Nothobranchius furzeri: one gene and its partners. The protein of the gene in region 6 interacts with the protein of the main gene of each other region in a pairwise test. Links are inferred from orthologs where the notes say so. Each region holds a gene or a part of one and is shown on either strand. Other genes may lie near its edges.

Region 1 (4,369 bases), on a different chromosome or scaffold from region 6:
ACCTAAGCAACTGGCCAAACGTAAAAATAGCACTTTCAGGAGCGGTGGTGTAAGTTTAAGTTGGTTAAATAACGTAATTTTAATGACTTAATGTTATTTTCCCCCCTTTCAACCCTCTTAATTTACATAAAAGGCTAAAGACTACACTAAGATTTCAGCATCAAGTGGAAGGAGGCAAAAAGCAGTTATGTTCAGAGTAATCAGTCATTTAGTTTTGCACTTTAAAACAAGTCAACAAAACATAATAGAAAAGTTTGTTTCTGTAAAAACGTGTTTTAAGGATTAACTTTATACTTTTTCTTCTTTAAATGCACAACACGTTCCCATCTGTAGTTTTGAAAATTTATAATTTGGCAAATATGTTGATTTAAGTTGTATTTATGTTCATTTTTATCATATAACATTTTCTCCAATAACTTTTTCACATTTTCAAAGAAAATTAGATATAATAATCGAATTATAATCAAAAAGGCTGAATCATAACTTCAGTAATAATTTGTTCCCACTGACGCCCATCTGCCATCTTTAACTGGAATTTTTACAACCAGCTCTGTAATGACACATTTTGTTTGTGCAACTTTCATTTCTAACTCTGCAAATTTTAGCACGTACCCTTTGCTCCAGAAAAAACATCTAGAAAATCATTTTTGCTCCATGTTCATACCTAGAAATGTGCCTCTCAATTCCGCATTTAATCTTTGCTATAGTGCTCCTAATAAATTAAATACTGAGTTACCTTTCTCAGAGAGGCCTTTTCACATACTCCATGTTTCTGGTTAGCGAATGTTAACTATAAATTAAAATCAACAACCAATTTATGAGGTATAATTTGGTTTTTATTCTGACAGGTTTCAGAATTACGACTTTAATCCGAAAGGAGTTTGTGTTCCCAGGCTCAGAGACTTGTGTTACCGTTGTGAAACTGCAGCTACATCACCACTGGTGAGAGTCTCACTTGTGAAAACAAGTCAAGGCAGAACACAGAAAACATCTCTGAGGTCCATAAACAAGTTTAAATTCCTCCTTGTATATGAACAACAGCAAAGTCTGTTTTGTAAAGAGGGAACATGAATGTGGAGAATGGTGCACCACATCAGACTGAATCAGTCCATTTCAACCATTATAGGGAGCCCGATTTCAGTGTCTCTCGACTCAGAGTTTTGTAGCTCCCTGCGAATTTCTGCAGAAATCTGCGGGTGTGTTTGTATCTTGAGCAGCTCCATCAGCGCTGCCTTCTGCTCTGAGGCCAGGTCAGCCTTGTAGCGCTGGGCCAGGGTGAGCAGACTCTGATGCCACAGCACAGGAAGAACACGTTTTTCGTTGCGGAAAGACAGGAAGTGGGCCACCAAGGCATCTAGAACACGGAAAGGCAGGGCGTACTTTTTGTCAAGCAGCAGACGCAGGAAAATGCTGTTGGCACCGTTGTACTCCATCTCTGCCAACTTAAGCATTGCAGCGCTGAAAGAAAGGACAGATCACACAAGTTATGTAACAGCAGACTTGATTTAACACATGTGTGTTTTTGTGTGAGGAGGTCCAACCTGGAGTGCAGCACAGGAATGGAGCATTTTGTGAGAATGCTCCCGATGATGATGGCTTCCCTCAAGGTGCATGTCCCAGACTCACATAAAGGAATCAGGATACCTATGTTATAAGGAATCAGGTATTAAACGCACGCTTCAGTGATGTTTAGAGCAGCATATATCATATTATCACAATGGTACATGACTTGTTTACAAACCAAACAATGTAAATGAGTCTTTGTGAGTCACAGGAAATGGGAAAATCCCTGAAAAATGTCAACCAACGGAACTCGGTTTGTTTTAAATTTGCAGTTGCACAACCATAAGTAGCGCAGATCAGGTAGCAGCTAAAGTGTCGCCAATTATACGTGACACTCATCAACAACAGTGGAGGCCGTAATCAGAGCTGTTTGTAGAGCGTAATGCAATGGATACGTCAGAGATGAAACAATATCTGTGTTTTTAAAACATGATCCTGAAACACTTTAAAGGAGGAGGAGTGATGGGAGGCTGCCACACCTGCTACAGGTTACAACGCAAAACAGAGCCTCAGGGAAAAACATCAGTGGAGACAAGGAAGGAGAATAAGCTCACTTTTAGCTTATATATATTTTATACATCATTAAAATTATGTGTTAATTATCCTACCTGTTCATTTAAATGTGTTTTTTTTAGAATTTACTCTTATTTCTACATTCCATTAGACTGCTTAGTGCTCCATGTCAAACTCTGATGTAGGGACAGGCCGCTATATTGGGCTGATATATACCACTTTTATAGAGCCAATTTAAAAACGGGCACATCTGTGGGCAGCCCGGCGATGCTGCCAAATTTTATTCAAATGTATACTTACAAGGGATGCACCAATATGACATTTTAGGGCCGATACCGATATTAATATCCCTAATATGGCAAATACTGATACTGATTGTGAAATTATGCAAGCTGAATTTTTGAATGTTTTTTTCTATAAAGTGCAAACTAGATATTATATATATATATATATATATATATATATATATGTGTGTGTGTGTGTGTGTGTGTGTGTGTGTGTGTGTGTTTACAATATTATATACACACCACACACATTTACGCTTCTGAGATGATTACCATCACTGTCACATGAATAAACAATTACAGATAATCACCCCTCCTCCCTCTGAAACAGATGCACAAATGGAATCATGTTGGAAAAATAATCGGTTGTTGATATTGGCCCAGTTTTATTCGTTGGACCAATGTGATATGTTAACAGATGACTAACATCGGCCATACCGATACTGACGCAGACATATCATGCATCCCTAATTTTACGTTCCTGACTAACAAGTGCTTGATAAATGCTCAGTTATATGTAATACTTGGTCAGTTTATTGATGTGTGACTCTGGTTTAATGTTTCATCCTAATACTGATCAGTGTACAAGATTAAGATTCAACAAATGGTTAAAATCAGAGTTCAAAAACAGTTAATGATCTATATTTGTATAGCTCCTTATTAGGGTTCGACAACCCCCCACGGCGCTTCACAACACAGTCAGTCATCCCCCCATTCACACGCTGGTGATGATGAGCTAATTGGAGCCACAGCTGCCCTGGGGACCTGTCCCCATGACCACCACCAGCAGAAACTGATTCAGGTTCAGAAATGTTGAGCATCAACAGATGTTATTAGTGACAATTTAGGATGCAGATATGTTAGAAAACGTCTAGACATCGGCCATGAAAATCAACCCAAAAAACAGGAGCACATATCAGCCATAACTGACCGTGACCTCTACATATGAGCATCAGTATCGGCAATAGAAAAACCATATCGGTTTATCTCTATAGTCTGATGTTTACAGCTTCATTAGTTTAGATGAACACACAGAAATCACATTGTGAAAGTTTCATTAAATTTGCTTTGATATGACCAAGATTGATTTACTGAAGCTTAAAGAGATCTTTACCATTTTGATTTCAATGTCAAAGTGATCTACAGGTCAGAGGATTTCAGATAAAACTCTTACAGGTATTTTAATAAACAACAAACCTTCTGCTGGAGCTTGAGTTTGAAACAATACATTAATTATGGCTCAAGCTTCATTAAAGGTGTTTAACATACACGCATGTCTAGTTATCCTTTAAGATCTGTGTCAAATGTTTCAGTCAGTAGGATGGAAGCTGTAGTGGGTGAGAACTGGAGTTAGTTTATCATCTACCACCATTTATTAGTCTGAACTGTGGATGGAAAAACACCCATCACTAGTTCCCAGTATGATGGATCTTAGAGCAACACTGCCACCTAGTGTTTAAGGCTCAAACTGAAGTTATTTTGAATTCAGGTCATGGATTGTTAAAGTTAAAAGTTAAAGTCCCATTAGATGTCACACACACAGGTGTGTGTGCGAAATTTGTTCTCCGCATTTGACCCATCCCCTGGGGGAGCTGCAGACACAGCTGCACTCTGGAACTATTTGGTGGTTTAACCCCCCAATCCAACCCCTTAATGCTGAGTGTCAAGCAGGGAGGCATTGGGTCCCATTTTTTCAAAGTCTTTGGTATGACCCGACCAGGAATCGAACCCCTGATCTCCCAGTCTCAGGGCGGACACTCTACCACTAGGCCACTGAGAAAGGGTAGAATAAAAGGGTAGAGAACAGGAGAATGTTCCCTTCAAACTGCAGGGATTTGTGTTTTCAAACAAATGAAATCAAAAGAATGTTTTTAAACATCTGATTCCACATATAAAGCTTAATTTGACCTATTAATTAACACTTTTATCCAGCCAGAAAAATGGTGTCACTCCTTCAACAGACAGCAGCTAATCCTCCATTAGCATCCTCAGTATAAAAATAATAAATC
Region 2 (4,266 bases), on a different chromosome or scaffold from region 6:
TGTGCAAAAAGACTACTTCAATTTAAGTCAGTAATAGGAAAAATGCCATATTTATTTGTCTCCAACAGCAGCTGAATCTCGTTCTCCTTTAGTGTGATGCTAAGTTGTGTTTATTAGTAAAGTATTTTTTATTTCTGTATATTGCATTTACTGTGATAAAACATTTATAAACATCTTCAGATAGAAAGGCCGGTCTTTGGTGAAGATTCTTACTTTTGTGGTTTGTTAGCTGTCTAGCTACACATAGCTACATGCTTCACACAGGGCAAATATCTGCTTCACAAGATGTGCCAAATATCTAAAATATCTCAAAAACTGTCTTATTTTTGCATTTTGAGAGGGAGAAGTAGCTGAAGAGTTTGATGTACAATATGTGTATGGTATGTAAAGGTTGGGTAATTAAAGAGCAAGTCACTCCAAATCAACTTTTTTTTGCTCATAAACTAAATAAATGAGTCTGATCATGCTGTAGACATGTACAGTCAATAATTCGACACTTTAGTGCATCTTAGTTCAGGTTTAAATATTTTGCCTATAACTGTCAGTGTTGCACTATCGTCAGGTAAAAACTGCACTGCATTTGAATTTAAATCTGCCATCGCTATTGGCTAAAAGGTACACTATGATGTTAGATGGTACATTATGATGTCACAATGTTGTGTGTGTGTGTATTTGTTAGCAGCTCTGCCCTCTCGGTCTGCTAGGCTACAGCCTTTGTTGCATTTTTCAAACAGGAAGTGGGAGTGGAGTAAGAATTGGGTAGGGGTGACTTGCTCTTTAAATGACTGAAAACCGATACAAATGTTTTTTGATATTAAATTTTATTGCCAATATCGGCCAATATTACTGGTAGACCAATAATACTGAACAACCCTTGAAATAAGTAACAATTAACATTCATATGTGTGCTTTACATTTTATGATATTTTTGCTGTTAATTTATAAAAAAAATTTTTTTACAACATTGCAAGGAAAGACACAGGAAAGAATGACAAAAAAATGACAAAAACTTCCCTCTGGGATTAATAAAGTATCTTTGAATTGAACTGGATTGAAAAACAAACCCGTGTTAGATGAGACGAGTCGGCTCTCCGACTGAACGAGGGCAACATTTGACAGGAACACAAGTCGACGATAAAGTTCTCCATCTTCTCCTCTGACATTCTCCACACAATACTCGCCACTGAGCCGACTCACACCTCTGCTCACATCCTCTCGCCAACCGAGGTCACCCCCCACTGACAGAAACGGCACCTAAACAAGAAAAGGTCACTCAAATTAATATCCTGATGTGCTTGGTGTTATTGCACATTTTAATCTTTTGAAAAGTAGTTCTAAAATAAATGTTATCGGCCTAAATGTGTTTACCTGCTGGTTGGTTGGCATACACGGTGGAGCCAGGTCCATGACCACAGGTGAGAGCTCTGACTGGACAGCTTGCATGTCTGTGTACTCCTGATTTCTGTGCATCAAAACAATAACCAGGCGCCGGAAGTTTGCACTGGCTGCCAGCTGCTTCCTGCCCTCAACAGAGCTATAGAGCCAAGCTGTCTCACTCCCTTGTGGAACTGGCAAAACAAACGGAAAGAATAAGGTAAGAGGAAAAAATACAACTATTGCAACAAACAAAATGGAAGCTCACCAATAAATATAGCAAACTGGTTGGATCGTGGCACCTTGGCTCCAGGTGGACAGTCTTGCACTGTAAGAGTGTATCTGGGCAGTCCTGTTTTGACGTGGCAGAGAGTTAGTGAGAGATTTGAGCCAGGATCAGTGCTTGTGCGGAGCCGCTTCCTCAAAACAGAATAAGCCTGATACTCTCTCACAGACGATAACAGTTCATTAACTTGTGTGTGCCGGACAGGGGCACCATCATCCCCAATACACATCTCAAGAATGGGCATAGGCATTGGCTGACGGAATTTAGTGCAGACTAGGACGAAAATGGGCAGAGCAAAGGAGTCTTCCTCTTCAGCACCTCTTTCCTCCTGCAGGCAGTGGAGTCTCACCGCCCATCCAAGCTGAACAAAGTGCTCCACAGCTAACCTAATCACGCTCTCCTGGGCCAGCGTCACACAGATGTACCTCCCTCCAACACAGAGAACACGGCTTACCTGCAAAATCAAAAAGTACAGTAAGAAACACACTAGCGTCCGTAATAGTGATTCGCTGTTTATCACATGAGATGATTTCTCACCTCAGTGAGCATTTTCCCAGCCAACACTCCTTCCTCTTGTGACGCCATAGCATCCAGGGTGCCCTTGTCCAGAGCAGCCTGGTAGCTGACATCCTCATATGGAGTCTGAGTAGCATCCACCTGATGGAAAAGCAGGCCAGGCCTTCGCTCTGCATTCCTCTGGCTCATATGTGTCACCACTGTCTCACTTATGTCTATATTCATCAGATGTTTGTAGCCCACGTCATACAGCTGTTCGCTCAGCTCAGAGTTACCGCAACCAACCACCAGCACCTAAACATGCAACAAAAGACAATAAAAATAAAATCACATTTCATGACAAGAAATTAGCGCACTGACATATAAACAAAATGCTGTAATAATATAAAGAATAATGATTACTGTTCAGTTAATTTAAGTCTAGAAACGCTGCACTGAATTGTTTTATGCTATGTCACACATCACCTTATCCGTCACTTTGATGTATTTGTGCAAGACGCCGCACAGTTTGTTGTAGTCTCCATACCACTCAAAAGCCTTTTCTCCGCGCTTTTTAAAGAATTTCTCCCAGTATTCAGCTGAGCTAAACTCCTCGGCGGTTCGGGGTAAAAGACTCATTTTTACGTGTTTTGGTTTCTACTCTCCAGCACGGTTTTCACTCCACATGGCACCGAGCTCACGTTTCTACCCGGACACGGTTCTTACTAGTGCCTACGGGTGATTGGTTAACCTTTGTAGGCGGAGTCATATACTGCTCGCTGATTCGCTTAGACACTAAGAGCGGATTTTATTGGTTACTGCAAAGCTGCAAGGTCCGGTTGTGTTAGTTTTCCGGGTGATTTTCATCATGGCTGGTAGAACTGTGGTATTTGTGACTGGAAATGCAAAAAAACTCGAAGAAGTAAGAATTTTTATCCTGTTTTTCATTTTCCTGCTTTGTTTCGTGGCTACCCCAATATAGAACTTATTACGTCATTCCGGGTTCTGCTTGATATTTCTGAAAGGGGAACTGTTCCATTTTGTTCTGGTTCGTATGTGTTTTAGGTTGTTCAAATACTCGGAAACAAGTTTCCCTACAAACTAGTCTCAGAAAAGATCGATTGTAAGTACTCAGTGTGACACCACATCTAAAATGTAAGTTTATTGTAACTAAAGTGTCTTCTCTTTTTTCTCCTAAGTACCCGAGTACCAGGGAGAGCCAGATGAGATTTCTATTCAGAAGTGTAAGGAAGCTGCGCAGCAGGTACAGTATTTTAATTTGGAATGTTCTTCAAGAACCAGATGCTCTGTGAAGTAAAACTTTGTTTTTGTCCTTAAGATTGATGGACCAGTCATAGTAGAGGACACCTGCCTGTGTTTTAGGGCTTTGGGAGGACTACCTGGTCCTTACATGTGGGTACAGTTTATAATAAAGTATTAAACTGCTAATGCGCTCAGATTGGGATAACGAGTTGTAAACATGTTTATGTTTGTAGCAAATGGTTTCTTGATAAACTCAAACCAGAGGGTAAGTGATTAAATAAAATGTACATCTTGATGTATAACAAAAAGTTTTTAAAAATCTTGTTTTGGGGTCTGACGTTGTGTTTTAGGTTTGTACAAACTTCTAGCTGGGTTTGAAGACAAGTCAGCGTGGGCTCTCTGCACCTTTGCGTTCTGTGCTGGTAAAGATGAACCTGTGCAGCTGTTCAGAGGGAAAACAGAGGTCAGAATGACTCTTTTCATGTTCTGGTTTGTGTATTTCCTGCTTACATATTCATTGTGTTGTTCCAGGGACAAATTGTGGAACCAAGGGGGCCAAAAGACTTTGGATGGGACCCTTGTTTCCAGCCAAATGGATTTGAGAAAACGTAGGCACACTTACTTAACCACTAGAGGGAGCCAGATGATAACACACTTTCTCAGAGCTTAATCTGTGAAGCACCATGGCGGTGATTCTACCGTACATTTGTTCAAATTACAGCATTTCTTTTTCATTCTTTTCTTCTTCTTTTTTAATCTCCAGTTACGCTGAACTTCCCAAAGAAGTAAAGAATTCAATCTCTCATCGGTATCGGGCGCTCGCTGCTATGTCCGAGCACTTCTCACAG
Region 3 (3,836 bases), on a different chromosome or scaffold from region 6:
CGGCAGCAGAACAGTCGGGACGGTAAGCAGTGGCAGCCCCCGCAGCAGATGTCAGCCAGTTGTTGTGTGCAAGCGGCAGCTCATCTGTGTGAGGGGCACACCCAGAGGGAGGGGCAGACACGAGACTGTGTTCCTCTTCGCTGTCATCCTCCACAACGCAGACCAGATTAGATTGAAGCTGACAGCGGAGGATATTCAATTAGATTGTTGATGTCACTCAGTGACTTCGATCAGAGTCGCTCTCGATGCCTTTGTGTTTACCATCCCAGCAAGAGAGAACACACCACGCTCCGTCTTTTTGTGTCATTTCCACTCACGTCGACCTCCAGTTCCAGTCATCAGTTTTACTAGCGAATGCTACATGTCGATCACTGATGTGACCAGAGCATGTAAATGTTCCATTCACATTGTTCACTTCTCAGATGCTCTAACATCAGCCGACCTCTACTCTCAGATGACAAATCTAAACCAAGATCTTGGCTCTTGTATGTCAGAAGATTGGGAGACGTTTCTGTTTTCTTTGCAGGGAAACCAGCAGCACCTGCAGCAGCGACCCCGGTCTGTTCACAAACGACGAAGGAAGACAAGGTATCACAAAGCTTGGACTTTGATTGGATTCGTGACTGTTTGCAGCTGTCAGGTGGACATCACCCATCTCCACTCAGAGTGGGAATGCTGGGCCTACAGAGGGAGGTTCTGCTACAGCGGGCCAGTTGCTGGGCGCCCAGGCGACTCTAATAAGACGTTGTCATGTCGTGTTAATGAGCGCTGAAGCCTTTGCTAATCTCATTAGCCGTGGTGGGGCCGGGCGGCCTCTGATTTAACAGTTGTCACTACACCTTGACTGTGAGAGGCATGGTTCCTGTGTGCACCATGCTGAGTGACAGGTCTGAGAGGATCTCACTGCCTCTGGGGGGAAACCGATGTTATCTGGTGAGGAGCTTCAGACATTTCTGACTCCCACACAAAAGGATCAGACTGGAAAACATTGAGAAAAATCTGAAACAGCATTGATTAAACAAGGTGAATCTTGTGATTAATACACATTTGTGCTTTTACGTTTCCTCAGGCGATGATGAGCAGAGCGACTGGTTCTTCGAGGGGGACTGTGGAGTCGGGAAGGCGGTGGCAGGACTCCTGCCCAACTGGGACTCGGACAGCTCACTTTCTTTAGAGAGTCGACGCACCTCCACCAACTTCCTGCAGCCTGCACGGCAATCTGTCAGAGGTGCCTCTGTCCCTTTATGTGAAAATAGTAGTAGGTCTTGAGACTGTGTTACATTTTTCTGGTGAAAACAGAACAGATTTGACTAAATTTTGGAATTAAGAAGTTAAATAAAATAATAGTTTTTTTTTTAAATCGTCACAGTTCCGTTAAACAGCTTTGATTGAGGTTAATGATTGTTATTATTTTATTTATCACTAACTGTTCCTGTTCTGTTACACTAGTTATTCCCTTTTCTGATCCTTTGCTTGCACGGAACAATGAGGTTTGTGTTTTGCAGGGTATCACTCACGTCTGAATCGCCTGCCTTGCTCTGCTGCCTGCTGCTTCAGGAAGGACAGGAGACGACTTCCCAGGAAGGTTTAAGAACGCCTGCATTTCCTTCTTCACTGCTATGAATGCTTAAAACCGTTGCAGCATTTGTTTAGCATTTCTAATCGTGTGTCTGCGTCCAACAGAGCCACAACATGCCAGCGTTTGTGGAAAGACTGAGGCACTTCTCCCAAGATCGTTCCCAGAGAAAGTGAGATACACTCGTGTTAGAAAGCACATTTATGTCCCACTACTAAGTCTATTTGTCTCAAAATGTGGCCTTCTCCTTGTAGCTTCTGGCTGCCTCCTGTTGGAAAACCTGACAGGAACCAAGTAAGCTTTTACCACGTGTTTTATTTCACTTAAACTTCATTTTGATTTCTAAGATCTGTATTTTATTGATACTTTTACTTCTAGCTGAACCCTTTGTGCCCATTGCCAGTGTGTCCTATTGATGTGGCGTCAGAGAGCTCCCCTCTCAGGTGTTCGTCCTCGCTCTACAGAAACAGGTAACACCGTTTAGTAGTCAAACACAGGAGATGGTTGGAGTATGACCAAAGGCATGCTGCATCAAGGTGTGCAAAAAGCTCTAGTTCTGAGTTCACTTACTAGTTTTCAAGGTCAGTCTCCACAGAAATAAAAATATAATGTTGACTTACTGTTGATTTAAATTTTCTGGGACCGAACAGAAACAGTAGAAAAATCCAAACGGTCTTTCATCAAAGCATCACTTTGCTTCTGGTCATCCCCAGAACGGCTGGGTCTACACGGGGGGAACTTTTGAGGAACCGAGCAGCCCTCTTGGCCTCGAGTATGTGGGACTCCTCGTTGTGTTGTTACCACTCTGCCTATTTATGGTGCATGCTTAATTTTTGTTTCACACACACAGACACAATGTGCGCCTTCTCCCTTCCTCTCTCTTGGGTTATTTCACAGAGTGCTCCAGCTCTCCTTGATGAGGGGCAAAAACACGACTGCTATGAAAAGCCCCCCGACTTCTTAGGGCTTTCTTTTCTAAACTGGCCCTTTCTTCTCCACCTGAAAGGTTCCTTCAGATTCCAGTTTAAGGCACTGTGAATACTAATTTCTTCTATTAAAAAGCCCTCATATCCCTGCCATGCTCTCATTTGAATGACAGACTCGGGGGAGATCTCTTAATTCCTTTATAGTGCGATTCAAGACCCTTCACTTCAAAAAGTAGAAATCATACTCCCAAATGAATGAGGGAGAAAGGGGGGTGGGGGGCTCTGACGAGAGGAACTTCTGATGTTTTCTGTTGGACGGCACGAGCTGAATCTTCTTTCCTGAGCCGGTGATTTGGCCGCCTCGTTCTCATGACCTGGCTCTGCTCTCTTGGTACCAATCTGGGTCTTCTGAGTTCATCCAAAACACGAACAAAAAATCATTAAAGGGGCATTATGGAAGTTTGACAGCCAAAACATGCATAGAAATAATAAATTTCTTCTTCATACATTCTCCTGCAATGCCCTGGTCCTGTAGAATGAGCCCTGGCATTTTTACTGTGATTGCCTGTTTTTCTGTAAAATCACAGAAAAAGAGAGCTGCTCGGGTCGAGCAGGCTGCTTCACGCGCGTTCACGCTCAGGCATAGCCCGTAGCATTTGCTATTCGTAGATTCAGCAGCAGAGTGAGGTAGTGCCAACTCAGCGACTTTGTCGCTGTTCCTAACGCCTAGTGATGAACCTAGCTACATTTCTGAGGACCCTTAGCTACTTTCTCTAGATATTTGCTGCAAATTAGCAACAAAATAGCCATTTTAGCTTAGAACCGTTCTTTGAACGTTGTTTTAGCTGTAATCAAGGATATAAATGTTACAGATACCCAAAACTTCAGTGGTGGTTTAGCTCATCTAGTTTGACGTCAGACTCGTGCAGGAGACCCGGGTACGATTCTGGGTGAGAACACAGTTTATTTAGAGTTTCTTTTTTACATTAATGATAATTTTTTTACAGTAAGATGCCCAAATTTTTATTTGAGACTCGCTGAACGGCATTGAATTCATAGATAAAAAAAGATGTGGGTTCAACTTTCAGTTTGGAACAATTTTTCAAGCAAGGGAAGGGAATGATCTGAGCATGCAGGAGGACTGACCCATCTTAAACCTTTGTCAGCTGTGCTGAAGAGAAAGGTACAAAACCAAATTATTTAATTAATTAGCTGCGCGTTCTCCTGCGCTCTGTCCTCCGGGCCACACACACACACACACACACACGCACGCACGCACGCACGCACGCACACACACACACACACACACACACACACACACAAGGGACTGTCAG
Region 4 (4,475 bases), on a different chromosome or scaffold from region 6:
ATCACCCTCTGAAACACAAACTTTGAGTAATCAAGACCCTACACCACCGGGCAGAACATGTTCCCTCTAAGCCGGAAGGGAAAAAGAAGGAACACACACATATAAAGGAATCACTTAAAACATGTGGCTATCCTAATTGGGCGTTTATAAAGTCAGCAAAAATGCACAGGAAAGAAGACCAGACACCAGCGAGGGAGGATAAGAAAGACAGACGCCACAACCTTGTAATCCCCTATGTAGCCGGTGTATCAGAGAAACTCAGGAGGGTCTTCTCCAAACACAACATACCAGTGTACTTCAGACCCAGCAACACACTCAGACAGAAACTGGTTCACCCGAAAGACAAAACTCCTAAACACAAACTGAACAATGTGGTGTATGCTGTACAGTGCAGCGAGGAATGCCCAGACCTCTACATTGGAGAAACCAAACAGCCACTTCATAAGCGCATGGCACAACATAGAAGAGCCACCTCCACGGGACAGGACTCAGCAGTTCATTTGCATCGAAAGGACAAAGGTCACTCTTTCGAGGATGCCAATGTTCGCATTTTGGACAGAGAGGACAGATGGTTTGAAACAGGAGTAAAGGAAGCCATTTATGTCCACTGTGAGCAACCATTTTTGAACAGAGGCGGTGATTTACGACACCAACTGTCTGCCATCTACAATTCAGTTTTGAGATCCCTTCCCAGATGCCTCAACGCCCACGCATATCATGGGCCATCTGACCTCAGGAATTCACATGATAGGGTGGGGCCAGGTTTCACAATGATCTCACCCGAAACTCTGGCTGAATAGGACCCACACCCACCCTTACACCTTGGCTCATGTGTAGTCATGTGTAGAAGATCATCAGGGGGTCTTTTGTTCCCTCTTCGGGTGGAAACTCTCACTGGGTTTGAATCTGGGACTCTCCAACGTTTGACCTTAGAACTGAAGAAGCCTCTTGGATGAGAGGTGAAACGTCTTCAAGCAACTCAAAGAAGTCCAGACGCTTTTCTTTCAAAGCTTCTTAGACTACAATGACCTGGATGACTGAGAACCTTCACAGACAACATCCAGAATATGAAAAAAATGCCACAGCAGATGAGACGATAAAAGCAACAGTAAAATAAAGTTCACCATGTGACAGATGACGCAAGATATGACACTTACTCCATTGAGTGTGTTGCAGTGCCGCGTGCCAACGATGGCTCCAGCTTCCTCAATCATCTTGAGGATGATGCCACCGTGAACGTTGCCCATAATATTCGCATCGTCCGGTCTCATCACCCTGGATCAGAAAGAGAAAAATGTTGGCGTGTTTCTGCCTAACTTTATATTAAAGCAGCTACACAGAATTTTCGGTCACTTCAGGAATTATGTACGATTTTTTTAGAAATCCGTAAAAGTTTCTTATTTTTTTGCAAAGTCCCCCGTCCCACAGAGGCTAGAGTAATTTTAATTAGGCGTCGCTCTGCATTAGCCAATAGCGTTAGATACTCGCTTACATACAATCACAGAGTGTGCAAAGTTTGCAACATTTCTTATGGACAAGTCATCCATAAGTTTGTTTGAAGGGGGTGGGGCTTATGGCATAATACATTTTTTCACCTCTAGGCGGTGCATTCAGACAAAAAAAAACTCAAGATTTCTGCTTTAAAAGATTTCCTGTGACCCACTAATTATAATAAACTGGTTATGAATTTTGCTGAAATTTAATAGAACAACTTATGAAATTCAACAGGAATATACCCGAACAGTGAATACACAATTGGGGTTAAAATTTGAGATAAAAAAAAATAAACTAATAAAATATCACATAATATAAAATTACCTTACAATAAAAACATATATAATGCAAAATTATCAAAAAAAAGTTGATGGGATTGTTTTCTTTACCATAGCCACTCAGCTCAAAGAACAGGCTGGAATAAATCCTTAATTGGTCATCTGGAACATAATCTCTAGCAGGAGGTGTCATAAGCACCATCTGAATCCAGTTCCTCACTGAGCGCATCAATCCAGACCAACAGGTTCCTATCTAATCTTCTGAAGTCACAAACAAGTAAAAGTTAAGCCACATAAGTCTCCGCCATTAGTCTTGGATCTGACTAATCCCTGAATCAGACATCAGATGGGACAAAAATCCACACCTTGACGTTACTAGTAATCCCAACACATTTCCCATAGAACTTTATAGTTTGTTTATTATAAACATGAAGTGTTGATCAGTTCCAGTAAAATGTTGTTCAGGTAAGAGAAACAACACAGAATAGGGTTAGGGTTCCATCACAGATACCAACGCTGAAAAAACACGGATTTACAACGATGAAAAGGAGAAGTTATTTCATGAACACAACAGCAAAACAGTTAAATCTGATCTTGCAATAGAGACAATATCCAGTTTGAGGGAGCAGTCGGAGGTGTGTGTGTGTGTGTGTTCAACAAGACAGCCCATTCACAAACGTATGAGATCTTGATATTTAATGATTAGAGAAGGGAACTGTTCTGATCACGGAGTAGGAATGAATTACCTGCAGAGTTGTAATTTGTCGCCCCCTCCTCTACAGACATCCCTGCTGATTGGCTGGCTTTGACCCGACTGCTGTTTCCTCATCACTGCAGCTGTTTCATCCATTTTATCAGCTTCCTTGCTGCTAAGCATCTCAGAGCAATGCAAGTTCACACCCAAGCTGACTCTCGCCTTTTGCATCAACACACTCCTACACTGTAAGTTCAGCACTTCTGACGACGCCACTGTAGGTGATGTCACACGTTTTGAATGCTGGAACCACCTTGAGAGTCATTACTGGATAAACCGGAACTCTGTATATTCTTCTCAGGTAGGTATGAACCAGTAAGGTCTCTTATCTATATTCTTCTCAGGTAGGTATGAACCAGTAAGGTCTCTTATCAGCACATGGAGGTGTGTGTCAGACAGGAAGAGCAGGAAATACAACAGGCATTGACGTATACAGTAGCATAAGGGCTAAGGACTATTGGCCATAATTTGACTAGCAAAAACTTGTTAAAATGGTTACATTTTTATCTTGTGTTGGAACAATTTGCAGCAAAATACCCTTGATGAGTGAATTATTTTGACAGATAGCCAGGATACTGATAATAAGCACGCCAGCTGAGAGAAATATCCTTTCTACCTCTTTATTGTTGTTCCAGGATCGACATACTGGGAGCAAAACTACATAAAAGTTGGGTTTTTGTTTTTCGTTACAAAGGAGCAGATGGTGCTGCTTCAAGGTGGTTGTTTTTGTTTAATACTATTATTATTTCATGGTACATCATGTGGTTTGTTATGATATGCCAATGATGCCATAAACATACAGAAACACATACATATGGATATTACACAAATTTGACTGTGTTGATTTTCTTTTGTTTTGTTGTTGTTGTTGTTGTTTTACCACATCAGACTTTTCCTGAGGCTGTACGTGAATTATTTTAATTTAAATGCAAATTTCTAATCAAAATATTTTAAAGCCAAAGGGAAGGGGCTGGATTTCATTGGGCTTTGCCCAACATGGAAGGGCTGGTTGGGTCACCACCAATTCCAGTAGTGTTAATGGTAATTACCAGTGATAATGGAATCAACAAGAGGTGCCTAAAAGTTAGAAAGAGACTCACACATCATTTAGTTTTGTGTTTTTGGCTTTTGGGAAGAGGAGTGACAAAAGCATATACACTGCAGAGACGTCTGTTTGGGAGATACGCACCAGTGCCAGAGGAAGGTAGAGGAGCCCAAGGCTTGTACTCCAGTAAAAGTCGCAATACTTTAATATATTAGTAAGTAGTCAGAAAAATAGAAAAGTCCTCTAATATAAAAAATTTAAATAGTTGACGTATTTTGTAATTTATTTAATCAAATAAATAAATTATACATAATTGTACTGCAATGGACATAAATGTAAAATGTAGGTACACGAAAACAATTTTTGTCATAGTTTCATTAGTTTCTTCTTATGTTTAGCTCATAATTAATTAACATTGTGGTTATTTTTATACCAACAAGTGATTCCATCCACTTCACTACTGAAAAATTCAATCTGCCTTTATTTTATAAGAAAATGTATTCTGCTTATCAAAACAGACTGGGGTCTTTGCATTTTCCTAATCACTGCTAAATGGCTAAAACTATACTTTCTCTGCAAGGTTCATCGTGTCATTTTTGTGTTGTTGTTATTGTTAATTTGCCACCTTAAAGTTAACTGCTCTGGGGTTAGCACAGAAGTAGCACCACAGATGAGGCTCTAATATTATAAAGGGGCAAGCTGAGGCCAGCTACTCTGTTAGAGGCACATTTGTAAGAAAACATTGCAAACACGCTTTAAATTGTTTCAAATTCTGGTGTGAAATTAGAATATAACACCAGCAATTTGGTTATAGTTGTTTTAGATACAATAGTTTCTAATAAGTTTCAACGTATAAAAAAAATTCCAAAAAATACACTGATAGCTGAGTTTTTATCTCAGTGAC
Region 5 (4,528 bases), on a different chromosome or scaffold from region 6:
GATGCCTGCAGGGTGTGGAAGCAGAACATCTAAGACTGCAGCAGCTAAACTGAGGACCAGCACCATTATTCAAAGCCAGATATCAACATAAAGCTGCTTAGTTTATCAGGAAAAGAAATGATAATCATGATTGTTTTGGTTATTTTATGTGATTACTCGTTGAATTGAAAAGCATTATGTGGAGTTCACATTTTAAGGAGACTGCAGATCCTGATTTAAGTCAGTAGGTGGCAGACTTAAGCTGCTTATGAGTGTGAATTATGGGATTTAAAATTGTTAAACTTTATCAATATAGCTCACAATAAAATTCATAGGTATAGTTATGATAAGAAATGCATCAAATAAAAGCGTTACAGCACATGTACGTTTTAAATGTGTGAAGATATCAATTAGAGCTTATTTTCTACTTGATCGATCTGTCTAGTCTGAATGCTGTGTTTGCAAAATAAAATGTCTGGATGTTTCTGAATGGATTTTTTTAACTAAAAAATCAAAACAATAAAATATAGTCAGATAAATTATAAAAATATTACTATTTGCTTAAAATTTCTAAAAATTGGACATTATTACAAATGCAACCACTAAATATTCTCTTTTGATCATCACATTTATCCACTAACACAATTTTTCATCCTATAACCTCACATTTGAGGGAACACCAAATCACAACCGCCATTTCAGGGATAATGGGGGAGGTTGAGCATTCTGCCTCAGGACACGTCGACATTCACCAGAAATGTTCTAATTTTCAAAAAGAACCACACCAATCCACTTTTAACGCAGAAGCACAGATTTGTTTTGTGTTTTGTATTCCAGTACCGTTTACTCTTGCACACCAGCTTACTCAAATTTTTTTCTACACTGTTTGTTTTTCCAACAAAGCACTGCGAGATGTTGCACCTCAGTTTGCTTTCCCTTCTTAAAAGCCAAGAGAGAGCAGACCTCTCAGTCACTGACACTGTCCGAAGATGCTCAGTTTGGCACAGCTTCTAAAAATTATTGTTTGCTTTGTTAATCCTGTGATCCTGCAATGTGTCATTTTAAATCCTGCCTGTATGCTCAACATGAGGTGTAGTGAGGATATCAGTAGGAGTGTAAATCTGACCCAGCAGAACGTAAACCTAAGGAGTCCAAAAGATTCACACATGCAACAAAAATAAAGGAAACTCCCAAATAAAACACACAAGGAGTGCTAGTGAAAATTACTGCATCCCTCTGGAGAGTGGGCCGTATAGGAGATGAGGGATTTGATGAATCAAGGACCTTTTGTTTGCAGCAAAATGATTGCTTCAGAGCAGTTGGAAAGAACAGATTGTCGCTAGCTCTTGGCAGGCGGGGGACCGTCATTTGGAGCCATTTAGGTTTGAAGCAGCCGCAAAGAGGGACGGAGGAGAGCAAGGTCATTTAAAGAGGATGCAGAAGGTAATGATGTGGCCAGTGTGGGGTGTTTAAGTATGTCTGCTCTGGTAGAATCCAGCAGTACACACACACACACACACACACACACACACACACACACACACACACACACACACACACACACACACACACACACACACACACACACACACACACACAATGAGGATTCATCTTTTTCTTTTGCTTAGGATTTTCCATTACACTGAAATTTGCACCAAAAAACCTACGATGACAAAATTAATCTGTCTCGAACATCATCATCATCATTATTATTATTATTATTATTATTATTATTATTATTATTATTATAGTATTATTATATTTACAACTATCATTATATAAAATTATATTGTATGGAATTTAAAAAAAACATTAGTTTGACTGACCTTTATTATCAGTATTTTCACTTATTGAGCTTGAATTCATGCACACTGAATTCCTTCTGTGTATGAAATATGCTATATAAATAAAATTTCCTTGCCAAGTTTATTTGTGCAGTTACAATTCATCTAATTTAAAAATATTATTTTAGAAAAATTGGCACACACTTAAAAATGCTAAACATGCCAAAATTATAGATGAAACCAAAACATTCACACAATTAGCCAGATAATTGTATAACAACATTTGTTTACGATAACTCACATTATGCAATAAATGGATATACTGATTTGGAAAAACGACTACATCTCAGTGAGTGCATTTTTATTCCCTTGTGGGGACAATAAAGAACTTTCATTTAGCTAATGCTTCTAAAATTTTTGATTTCTTTCTCTCCTTCATTCACATGAAGTAATGTGAGGTTTTGTTGTGCATAAAAAGAATGAAATACATCAAAACACCTGAAATGTGAATAGGCTTACAATTGTGTTTAAAATAATTTACTTTCTTTAATCTGGAAAGAGAAGATCAATTTGGATAAAGCAACTCATAATGAATTTAGGCCAATTTCCGTTTGGGTTACACTCTTCTTAAATAAAAAAGAAAGAGCAATAACAAAGTAAAATCAACCAACCTCGTGAAAAGTAAAAGATAAAATGGCAAACTACCGCTGTTTTCATTTCACATTATTTTTAAAACACTAAACCGATTGCTTACTCGAATTGCACCTATTTATGAATAACCCAGTCAATTGGTGCTAAAAATAAACATGGAGAACTTTATTTTCATCTTAAAGTAGAAAAGGGAAATTAAGGGATATTTCAGAAAGAGGTCATCCTGAAATAACGAGTTCAGTTTACATTAAATGACAGAAAGTGAAATTCAGAACAAAATGTTATTTGGAGGCAGTTTTATTTAAAAAAAATATAGTCTCGGACACATTATTAGCCACATGAGACAAAAAGCAGGTTGGACACAAGCAGAGAGGAAAATGGTTTTCCTACCTGAGTCAGACGGCTGCAAAGCTCCTCTGTTGTCGCTGTCCATTTCCAGCTGTCACAGATTACAGCGCGTGCTCAGCGGCTGGAAGCGCTTCAGTCCCGCGAGCCAGTCAAAGTGAAGGAAGATAAACCGCACGGGTTAACGTGCGCGCGCGCTGCGCCACTGCCTGCGCGAGAAGATACCGGACCAGTGCGCGCGCGGATGAGAGAGGAAGAAAGGATGAATTGACGACTGTAATCAGTCTGTTTGAAAACAGGAAAAAAGAGGCGCTAAGGAGGGGAGCCGCTTTCGGGATGAGGAATGTAGGCGGTACATTCAACATTTAGAAGTAAAACACGTGGAAAGGGATCACAAAGCGTTAAACAAAAGAAATAATGATAACACACGTGTGTGTGTGTGTATACAGGTCCTTCTCCAAAAATTAGCATTTTGTGATACAGTTCATTATAACGTTCATTATTTTCTGTAATGTACTGATAAACATTAGACTTTCATATATATTAGATTAATTACACACAATTGAAGTAGGTCAAGCCTTTTATTGTTTCTAATATTGATGATTTCGGCATACAGCTCATGAAAACCCAAAATTCCTATCTCAAAAAATTAGCATATAATGAAAAGGTTATCTAAACGAGCAATTAATCTAATCATCTGAATCAACTAATTAACTCTAAACACCTGCAAAAGATTCCTGAGGCTTTTAAAAACTTCCAGCCTGGTTCATTACTCAAAACTGCAATCATGAATAAGACTGCCGACCTGACTGCTGTCCAGAAGGCCATCATTGACACCCTCAAGCAAGAAGAAGACACAGAAAGAAATTTCTGAAAGAACAGGCTGTTCCCAGAGTGCTGTATCAAGGCACCTCAGTGGGAAGTCTGTGGGAAGGAAAAAGTGTGGCAGAAAACGCTGCACAACGAGAAGAGGTGACCAGACCCTGAGGAAGATTGTGGAGAAGGACCGATTCAAGACCTTGGGGAACCTGCACAAGCAGTGGCCTGAGTCTGGAGTAGAAACATCCAGAGCCACCGTGTAGGCGTGTGCAGGAAATGGGCTACGGGTGCCGCATTCCCCAGGTCAAGCCATTTTTGAACCAGAAACAGCAGCAGAAGCGCCTGACCTGGGCTACAGAGAAGCAGCTCTGGACTGTTGCTCAGTGGTCCAAAGTACTTTTTTCGGATTAAAGCAAATTTTGCATGTCATTCGGAAATCAAGGTGCCAGAGTCTGGAGGAAGACTGGGCAGAGGGAATGTGCCAAAATGTCTGAAGTCCAGTGTCAAGTACCCACAGTCAGTCATGGTCTAGGGTGCCATGTCAGCTGCTGGTGTTGGTCCACTGTTTTTTATCAAGGGCAGGGTCAATGCAGCTAGCTATCAGGAGATTTTGGAGCACTACATGCTTCCATCTGCTGAAAAGCTTTATGGAGATGCCAATACTGTCAGCGCGCTGCGGAGTGGAGCGGAGGAAAGGCGTGGATCCAGACCGGGGAGTAAACAGGCAGCAGGTAGGAACGGTCAACCAGGATTTATTAAGCACGCTGGACAATGAAACAATGATCTGACACAGTACAAAGAACAGACAGGGTTTAAATACAGGAGGGTTGGGAGCTAAGGTGATTGGGAAACGAGAGGCAGGTGGGAGTAATCAACGAGACACAAGGCTGAACTAAACGGGGAGACATGACCGGGTGTGACAGTACCCCCCCCTCAAGGGGCGGATCCCA
Region 6 (4,607 bases):
CTTTCGTAATCCGGCGTGATTTAGGTGAACACTACAATAGTAATAATAGAGGAAAACACAATTCAGAATGGAGTATACGAGTAGGCAATAAAGAAAAAAGCAGAATTTGGGTAAAAATAAATAAATGCATTTGAAGCAGATTTATTGTCTTGTGTTTGGAGCAGAGATTAGATTATTTAATTAGAACGGGGCTAGCTCTGGTGTCCAGGGATGGTTGTGTCCTCTGCGCAGTAGTACCTGGTAGTGATGTGTCGGTCGCGAACGAACCGGCTCTAAGAGCCGACTCTTTGAAGTGAACGATGGGAGCCCTCCCCCTCCCCCCCTGCCTTGGTGAAAGCTGCAGGTGATTGGTCAACATGTGTAACTGCGTGTCCAGACTGTCCACACACAGAGCAGTAGGGGCGGAGAAGAGGGAGGATCAGACTCAGACACACAGCAGAGCACATGCGGGCGGAGGGAGGCGAGCGGGAATGAGGAGGAGGAAAAAGGCAGAGAGAGGAGAGTGCGACGAAGACGGTGAGAAAATTAGCGCCAGCAGTCGGAAAGTGGAGATTTCTTAAAGTGTTCAGTTATTAAATCCATAGAAATGATAAATATTTGATACACAGCATTTTTTTACATTAGTAAATCATTTTACAAATAGTTTTGCATTATTTTGGTTATAAATGTATTCTGCGCAAAAGAAAATCTGAGGAGCCACTTGGGAGCCGAAAGAGCCGGCTCTTTTTGGTGAGCTGAGCCATTCCCATCACTAGTACCAGGACCAGAGTGAATAGGGTGTGTGTGTGTGTGTGTGTGTGTGTGTGTGTGTGTGTAAGCATGAGGGATGCATGTACGTCAGGTGGGGTCTTGGACTCCTCTCCTCTGCTGAGACATCTTGAGGTGTTACGACATCTTCGCGTACCCTCCTGCCACTTGTTCTACCGGTGGGCGGTGCCTCGGTCTGCCTGCATATCTAAATGCACTATGAATTATTATGGTATGCTTCCCAGCATAAGCAGTTACTGTTATATATCCTCATGCTGTTGGAGCAGCGATGTTTTGTCTTGTTGTATTTTTGTGTGTCTCCTTTTCACGCTCTCTCTCTCTCTCTCTCTCTCTCTCTCTCTCTCTCTCTCTCTCTCTCTCTCTCTCTCTCTCTCCAGAAGCTGATTCTTCTTCATCATTTATTATTTATATAATTCATCCTCCCTCACCTCTTCCTTCACTCTCCCCCTTTCTCTCACAGCTGTCTCTGTGTCCGAAAGTGTTGCTAATAAAGTTTTGGTGTCAGCAGTGGCTACGGCAGAAGCTGTGAGCTCCACCTGAGAGAATAAAGCTGCAAGGCTCGTCTTCAGCAGTCAGACATCAGTTCTGGTTGCTTCACAGCCGGACAGGACACGGTAAAAAGACAACAAAAGGATATTTGTATGAAATCAAGTGATAGTTATTAAAAGCATTCAAAGAAAAGATGTTTTTTGTCCAACTGCTCTTCTGTGACTATTTTATTTTATCCTTTACTTATTTTATTTTTATTTTTTTTATCTGCAACGATTTATAATAAAAAAAATTCTAACAAGTTTCGCTTCACACACTAAAATGACAGTTACCAGGAAGAGAGGCCAATCAGGGGGCAGAACGCGGGTCAGGTGACCCTGTCTCCGCCGCCATGTTTGTTATTGGCAGTGAAGCCTGATCGGACTGACGGCAACGAGGTTTGGCGGAGGTTCGGTTCGTTTTCTGGGATGAAACAATGGTCCAGACGTGCTCAGCCTATGGCTGTAAGAACCGGTACCACAAAGACAAAGATGTCTCCTTCCACAAGTAAGTTCGGCTCCGGTGTTTCTGCGCCGACTCTCGTTAGCCCGCCCGAGCTTCGGTCCGGTCTCAGAAACAGCCTCGTTCAGTCACAGCAGTCTATTCATTCATGTTTTCGTGCTGAATGAAGCAGAAGTCCGAGCAGCGGCCTCACAGAGGAACCACCTGTTCAACAGGTGTCCAGGTGTTGTAGTCCCATTAGTCTGACATGTTGGAGCAAAACCAGAGCAGCTAGTGGTTAGGACCAGTTTATTCTACAAACACAGAAACACCTCCAGTTGTCCAGACTGGTGGAGCATAAAACCAGGTGTGGCGAGGCCTCAGGCTAGATGTGGAGGGGCATCAGAGCAGGTGTGGAGCAGCAGCAGCCAAGTGAGGAGGAGCATAAAACCAGGTGTGGAGAGAACTCAGGCCAGGTGTGGAGGAGCGTCGGCGCAGGTGTGTTTCACACTTCCTGGTGTTTAGATAAACATTCAGTACTTCAGTAAAGTTGCTGTAATTAATGCGGCGTCATCGGGTCACGTGGAGAAACTCAGGTTTTTATTAAAAGTCGTTTATTTTATCGCTGGAATCATTTTGGATTTTTTCACTAAAATCTTCATCATTCTGCTTTCTCACAGATCAGCTACAGAGGCTGGTTCTGGCTCGGGTTCTGGTTCCTCCAGAACTCATCAGTCACTTTGTCTGAGTTGACGTTTGTTCATTTTCATCACCACCACCGTGCTTTGCTCTGATGGAGTGAGAACATGTCCTCCTTCCGGTGGAGGTCATGACCTCCATGCTAATCATCTCTGGCTGTAGAGACGGTCTGGATTTGTCCTCAGAACCAGAACCAGACCAAAGCTCCGTCATCCTCTCCTGATCTAGAGCAGACTGGACTCACAGGATGGGTCCTTTTTAGTCCACTGGACCTGGTTTCTTTTCTCAGCCTCTGATGGTTTGGGTTCCTGACGGTTCTTGAAGACGTTTCGGATCTTCTCGTGTTTCTACCTGCAGCCGTCGGTTTTACTGAGCCCAGTTGTGTTTAGAAGTAGAAGTGATGAGGTAGTTCTGTTTCACCTGTCTTCAGTGTTGGGAGTAACGACGTTTAAATATAACGGCGTTGCTAACGGCGTTCTTTTTTAGGTAACGGAATAATTTAATTGATTACTTTTCCCACTGCTGCAACGCCGTTACCGTTACCACGTGCTTGTCGAACGTTGAGCAGCAGCGTGAGGCTTTCTGACCGCCACACTTCAGCTGCAGCCAGGGAGAGAGAGGTGTCGGTAACGCACTTACAAACACGATGGTGATTGGCCGGGTGGGCGGAGACCCTCACGGTCTCAGTCGCTGCATTCTGTAGACACAACAGAGCAGTGATGGGAATAACGCCGTTTAAAATAACCGCGTTAATAAAAAAAAAGTGTTCCTGTAACGAGCAAACTAATTAATTACCGTCTTCTTTTATCAAAACGTCATTTCTGTTACTGATAAGGAAATGCGTGCGTTAAGCAGCGCGGTGTGTTGAAGCTGTCATCAGCTGATCAGGAGCTAAAGAGGTAGATGTTTTCATCCAAGAGCATCACGGACCGTGAAGAACGAGGAAGACGTGATGAATGATTCGCTGCTGCAGTAGCGAATCTGTGGGTCTGCAGCCGTGCTCTTAGCGTGACAGCGGGACGTCCCGAAGGTCCGCTCACCTGTTCACCTCTCAGACGTCCTGATCTTCTACCTTCCTAGATCATCCAGCTGTAACCTGTTTCTGATCATGTCTTTAGTCCCGCTGTAACACTGATGCATCAGTCTCAGACGTCATGGAGCTCAGGTGTTATCAGAACTACCTGTGTGTGTTTACCACCCAGCTTCAGCTCTTCTGTGGTTGGGTCTGACCCAAGTTAGTAAATGTAAGTCCTCCATCAGGCTTGTGCCTCTTCTAGTGTCATTTTAAAGGATTTTATTTATTTATTTAACCGTTACTAGATTACCTGCAACAGAAATGCTACTAAAAACACACAATTATGTGAAGCTGGAAAAATTAAAATACCGTAGAAAATTACATTTATTTCTGTAATTTAACTAGACTGAGAGACCATTTAAAGGCTCGGGAACCTTTACAGGTGTTTCTATTTGCAATTTTAAATGTTAGCTGATTGGGTTTTTGTTAAATATCACACAGAGACCTTTTAATAGTCTAGATAAGTGTAATGTTCCTATTAGTAGTTCCTCCTGTTAAGTGCTTATTTATTTAAATTATTCAGGTTTTATTATGTTCCAGTCATTAGTCATTTATATTTCACTATTATAGTAATTCTTGCATTCTTTAATGAAAAAAGTAACTAAGTAGTTATTTTTCTTGGTAATTAGTTACTTTTATAATCTTGTAACTGAGTTACTTTTTTTGACAAAGTAATCAGTAACTATAACTAATTGCTTTTTAAAGTAACGTTCCCAACACTGCCTGTCTTCATCTGAATGACGTTCCTGTGAGGACTTCACTTCCCCAGCTGTTGTACCATTTGACGTGTTTTCCCAGGTTTCCTTTGGCCCGTCCAGATGTTTGTGGGAAATGGGTCGCTGCCATGAGGAGGAACAACTTCAAACCCACCAAGTACAGCAACATCTGCTCCCAGCATTTCACCAAAGACTGCTTCAAGAGGGAGTGCAACAACCGGGTTCTCAAGGAGAACGCCGTCCCGTCGCTGTTCACCTTTACCCTCAGCATGAAGGTCAGAGTCCCAGTGTGGTTCTGGTTCTGGATGTGAATGTTTTGGGCCCTGAAGGCTTTAACCCTGAGACTCTGAAGTGTGGTTTAAAATCCCAAATCTGTCTGG
Region 7 (3,836 bases), on a different chromosome or scaffold from region 6:
TCAAAGTGCTGTAGGAGAGTACACTAGCGACGTCTCCTCAGTCTCAGAGAGACTAATTATTATTTATCAGCGTGAGGAACTTATTTCTACCTCATTTATAAACTATTTATTTACAGGTCCCATCAGTTAATGTAATAATTGTCCCAACCACAGCAACCGGAGGTGCGCTGTAACCCCCCACTCCCCAACCCCGTCTCGCAGCAATCAGGGGCAAGCTGCACGTGTATTTAGGGTGCCGCACGCGCACATTTTGCCGTTTTTAGCAGCTCGGGAGCCTGCAGGCACAGAGTGTCACTCACTCCGGTTAATCCAAGAAGGAGCCGGCTCTGAGAGCCGTTTCTTTAGCGACCGACGCATCACTACATCATTCCATTTCCTAATGTCCTGAAGGATGGTCCAGTGCGCAGGCGGAGTGTTTTTCTAACCCGCAGGACATGTCGACGACAGTTATCCAGAAAGTAGCTAAGGGTTACCAGAAATGTTTCTGGGGTGTTGGCTAGGTACTTCTTAGGCCTAGTCCACACGTAGCCGGGGGTTTTTTTAAACGAATATCCGCCCCTCCAAAAACTTGCATCCACACCACTTCGTTTTAAAAACTCTGTCCACACGTACCCGGATAAATACGTTGTTAAGGACATGCCAGACCTGTAGGCGGCAGTACTTCCCCCGTTCTTAACCTCGTCCTTCGTCTGTGGTCTTCCGCAAGGAGCAGTAATTCCGCTTGCAAAAACAAACAAGCAAAAAGCGCTTGGACAAATGATAAAGCGAGCGCAGCTCTGAGGGCATCCATGCTGTTGGCTAGTGTAAACACAGGTCGCACACGTGATGTCAGCATTTTTTTGTCGCGGAAAGTGACGTTGCGGACCTTAAAACTCCGGTTTTGTCTGTCCACACGCAGACACCCAAAACGGAGAAAACGCAGATCTTCACTTTGGCCGGAGTTTTTAAAAAGATCAGTTTTCGTGTGAAAAAACTCCGTTTTCGTGTGGATGACAGGCCAAAACGTAGAAAAATATCTACGTTTAGGCAGATCCCCGGCTACGTGTGGACAGGGCCTTAGATTTAAACAGTCAAGAAGGGGGTTTGAAAATATCAGTCTGTTGGAAATAGCGACAAAGTCGCTAAGTTGGCAACTCTGTTTTGAGGAGCGCTTGATTTGTAACCCAGAGCAGCGCAAGAGGGAGGAGCAAATAATCGGCTTGTTTTATTTGTATAAACTGTTCAAAACTCAGATCGTAATTGGGATTATAATTCCGTTAATTGAGCAGCCCTACATGGATGTGCGATGACGGAGAGCATTGCCGAAACAGACGCAGCTCTTCCCCACCAACATTAAAAAGTAAACCCCTGGTTTGGAGTTATCTGGAACTCGTATTTATCGTATTTCTATCGTACCTCTCCTCCTCCTTTCGTCTCTCCTCCTCTTCTTTCTCCCGTCGTTTCTGCTCCTCTCGCTGCCGTTCCAGCTCCTGCAGTTTCTGCCTCTCTAGGCTCCTTCTCTTTATGGCTGCATCACTAAGATGTTTGCTGGTGTCAAAGGTCACCTGATTTAAAAAAAAAATGTGATTAGTGATTTTTATGCTTTTTTTTCTGGTCATTTAAAGATTTGTTTTACTCTTTTTCTTAGCAAAAAAAAAACAATAAGTCAAAAAGCATGAAGGAAGATGATAACGTGTTACAGGACCAGAAATACCAAACTGTTTTTATTTTTAATTATTTGAATCTTTGATCATTTAAGTAACTCAGAAGGTTTTATTTCTGCTGCTTCGGTTCTCATTTCCCTAAAAGCTCTTAAAGCTACTTTGTGATTAAACTCCACTTAGCTGTTATACCGCTGCAGCAATCCCAACTCACCTAACACAGGCAACAAGGTCGCTGCTGTGCCCTAAAACGGATTGTTTGTTTACATACTTAATCATTTGTATGTTTTTAGTAAACATCCTGTGGGCTCAGTTTGAAGAAATTCCTCACAGATAAACTGGATTAGTCTGTAACAGAGTTGCGTTTATTACATTTTCACGTGCTTTAATCAAACCCAGTATGATGGATGGTTTCATTGTTGACTTGTTAGCTGCAGATTAGGAGGTGGAATCGTTCTCCTTCAGTCCTCTCACAGTTTTGTCCGTTAGAAGTGAGGATTCCTAGTTTGTCCTATAATCTGTTACATTTAATGATTGTTAAAAAAAACATAACATAGTGTTTTATATTTAAGATAAACCAATATGTGTACAGGAGGGAATGTATTTAGAAGATGTAAATTCGGACTCCAGAAAACACAGGATCAGATGGTACTTCCTTGTGCAAGAAAATACGAGTGCTTGCTCTACTTAACGGTGGACGGTAGAATTGCAGGAAGAAAGTTCTGGGACGCATCCTCAGTAGCGTTCCTCTGGATCATGCGGTGTTTCGGCCTTTAAATACTATACACCCTACTCAGAGGCGGCCAGCTGTAGGTTGATCAGACCTCAGCTTGCGTCCCAAGTCCAATTAGACATTAAAGTGTGCAACCTGGCACACTACTTGGGGGCCCAAATGGGGTCATTCCTCTTCAGCCAGAGCCACTGGCTGCTTCTTTCTGCTGCCTCTTATGTAGCTTTGATGGCTCTGCGCCGTTTCTGGCCCATGATTCCTAGGTCCCCTTAATAGTTTTGTGGTAGATGTTCCCACAAACCCTCTGCACCCGACCTCCACTGGAAGACCTCCAGAGTATGTGCCGGAGGGAGGCTGGCTTGGAGCACAGGACGCACCCACGATCTTCACCAAACCACTGGTGGAGATTAGTTGGTGTTGGTAGGACATCATACGTGGCTCTGATGGAAAAGCTCAAGTTCCTAGCTTCCATGGCCCATACATCCCTCCAGCACAACTGTCCACAGTCCCTGTTTGCCAAGGGCGTCTGCCTTGGCCCACCTTGCAGATTCCTCCCGACGTCGCACCTCATCATCCACCACCATCTTCCTCCATGCTGGAGCAGTAGCAGTTCTCCAGGCTGGGCGGCTAGCTTTTAGTCCAAGGCCTCCCCTTCCAAGGTTAACGTTCCCCACAATGTCAGCATGTCTAAGAGCTGCCGTTGCCTCCTCTACTGCTATTGCTGGTCTCCATTTGCGCCCGGTAACCAGGTTTGGTACGTTTTCTCTGATCACCGGATCTGTGGTATCGTTCAAGGTCATCTGCAACCGTGCTCTGGCACACTTGAACTCTTCCGTAAGGCCGGTAAGTGGCAGCTTGAGGACACGATCTCCGTAGAGGCTAGTGGTGGTGAGGCAACGTGGAACTCCCAGCCATTTCTTGATGTATGCTGTGACTCTTCTCTCCAGCTTCTCTACTGTTGTGACGGGCACCTCATAGAGTGCCAAGGGCCACAGCACTGGGGGTAGAAGGCCAAAATGGAAGCACCAGGACTTGAGTTTCCCAGGTAGTTGGATTTTAACAATTGCCTGTAGGCCTGCATTGATGTCACTGCACAGTTGCTTCACCTGTTGTTTATCTTTCAGGCTTCCATCGTAGTACCTTATGAGACTTTTGACTGGCTGCTCAGATACAGTAGGAATCGGGTCATCACCGGTGACGAACTGCGAGTCAGTGTGCTCTCCCTTCACCACCGAGATGCTGCGTGACTTAGACAGTTTAATCTTCATATGGGCCCACGTGATGTTCTCCTCCAGTAAATAAATAATTGTTGTATTCTCAGTTAACTATTTTATCTAGTAAAGTTAAAGTCCCATTAGTCATCACACACCGGTGATGTTTTTCCTCCAGATTTGAACCATCCCCAGGGGGAGCGATGAGCTGCAGACACCAGGGAACCACTTCGTGGTTTATGTTTATTTATTTGG

What was found.
Region 1: the proteins of thap1 (region 6) and bysl interact in binary tests that used the Homo sapiens proteins (3 or more experiments, as listed by UniProt). The two-hybrid records come from large-scale screens. The link is inferred for Nothobranchius furzeri from reciprocal best matches to the Homo sapiens genes THAP1 and BYSL.
Region 2: the proteins of thap1 (region 6) and mettl13 interact in binary tests that used the Homo sapiens proteins (3 or more experiments, as listed by UniProt). The two-hybrid records come from large-scale screens. The link is inferred for Nothobranchius furzeri from reciprocal best matches to the Homo sapiens genes THAP1 and METTL13.
Region 3: the proteins of thap1 (region 6) and G patch domain-containing protein 2-like interact in binary tests that used the Homo sapiens proteins (3 or more experiments, as listed by UniProt). The two-hybrid records come from large-scale screens. The link is inferred for Nothobranchius furzeri from reciprocal best matches to the Homo sapiens genes THAP1 and GPATCH2L.
Region 4: the proteins of thap1 (region 6) and acot7 interact in binary tests that used the Homo sapiens proteins (3 or more experiments, as listed by UniProt). The two-hybrid records come from large-scale screens. The link is inferred for Nothobranchius furzeri from reciprocal best matches to the Homo sapiens genes THAP1 and ACOT7.
Region 5: the proteins of thap1 (region 6) and zinc finger protein 385C interact in a two-hybrid assay, tested with the Homo sapiens proteins (3 studies listed by BioGRID). The two-hybrid records come from large-scale screens. The link is inferred for Nothobranchius furzeri from reciprocal best matches to the Homo sapiens genes THAP1 and ZNF385C.
Region 7: the proteins of thap1 (region 6) and akap17a interact in binary tests that used the Homo sapiens proteins (3 or more experiments, as listed by UniProt). The two-hybrid records come from large-scale screens. The link is inferred for Nothobranchius furzeri from reciprocal best matches to the Homo sapiens genes THAP1 and AKAP17A.

What each region holds. Positions count from the first base shown.
Region 1 is NC_091743.1:46,638,227-46,642,595, forward strand, and holds the end of bysl (bystin), read right to left. Parts: intron 1,645-4,369; coding exon 1,542-1,644; intron 1,459-1,541; coding exon 1,104-1,458; 3' UTR 815-1,103; downstream 1-814. UniProt on the Homo sapiens protein: Required for processing of 20S pre-rRNA precursor and biogenesis of 40S ribosomal subunits. May be required for trophinin-dependent regulation of cell adhesion during implantation of human embryos.
Region 2 is NC_091748.1:42,295,575-42,299,840, forward strand, and holds the start of mettl13 (eEF1A lysine and N-terminal methyltransferase), read right to left. Parts: upstream 2,877-4,266; 5' UTR 2,795-2,876; coding exon 2,642-2,794; intron 2,471-2,641; coding exon 2,198-2,470; intron 2,115-2,197; coding exon 1,643-2,114; intron 1,569-1,642; coding exon 1,369-1,568; intron 1,255-1,368; coding exon 1,065-1,254; intron 1-1,064. Other genes in the region: itpa (inosine triphosphate pyrophosphatase), read left to right, coding at 3,024-3,077, 3,221-3,278, 3,355-3,419, 3,495-3,568, 3,652-3,683, 3,769-3,881, 3,950-4,026, 4,182-4,266. UniProt on the Homo sapiens protein: Dual methyltransferase that catalyzes methylation of elongation factor 1-alpha (EEF1A1 and EEF1A2) at two different positions, and is therefore involved in the regulation of mRNA translation.
Region 3 is NC_091758.1:32,657,485-32,661,320, forward strand, and holds part of G patch domain-containing protein 2-like, read left to right. Parts: intron 1-526; coding exon 527-588; intron 589-1,069; coding exon 1,070-1,228; intron 1,229-1,505; coding exon 1,506-1,585; intron 1,586-1,683; coding exon 1,684-1,748; intron 1,749-1,830; coding exon 1,831-1,870; intron 1,871-1,954; coding exon 1,955-2,046; intron 2,047-3,836.
Region 4 is NC_091755.1:32,418,040-32,422,514, forward strand, and holds the start of acot7 (cytosolic acyl coenzyme A thioester hydrolase), read right to left. Parts: upstream 3,119-4,475; 5' UTR 2,698-3,118; coding exon 2,519-2,697; intron 1,276-2,518; coding exon 1,158-1,275; intron 1-1,157. UniProt on the Homo sapiens protein: Catalyzes the hydrolysis of acyl-CoAs into free fatty acids and coenzyme A (CoASH), regulating their respective intracellular levels.
Region 5 is NC_091756.1:38,928,886-38,933,413, forward strand, and holds the start of zinc finger protein 385C, read right to left. Parts: upstream 3,038-4,528; 5' UTR 2,848-3,037; coding exon 2,805-2,847; intron 1-2,804.
Region 6 is NC_091746.1:71,097,078-71,101,684, reverse strand, and holds the start of thap1 (THAP domain-containing protein 1), read left to right. Parts: upstream 1-1,617; 5' UTR 1,618-1,732; coding exon 1,733-1,803; intron 1,804-3,545; exon of another isoform or gene 3,546-3,678; coding exon of another isoform or gene 3,679-3,680; intron 3,681-4,309; coding exon 4,310-4,502; intron 4,503-4,607. UniProt on the Homo sapiens protein: DNA-binding transcription regulator that regulates endothelial cell proliferation and G1/S cell-cycle progression.
Region 7 is NC_091754.1:16,992,386-16,996,221, forward strand, and holds part of akap17a (A-kinase anchor protein 17A), read right to left. Parts: intron 1,545-3,836; coding exon 1,396-1,544; intron 1-1,395. UniProt on the Homo sapiens protein: Splice factor regulating alternative splice site selection for certain mRNA precursors. Mediates regulation of pre-mRNA splicing in a PKA-dependent manner.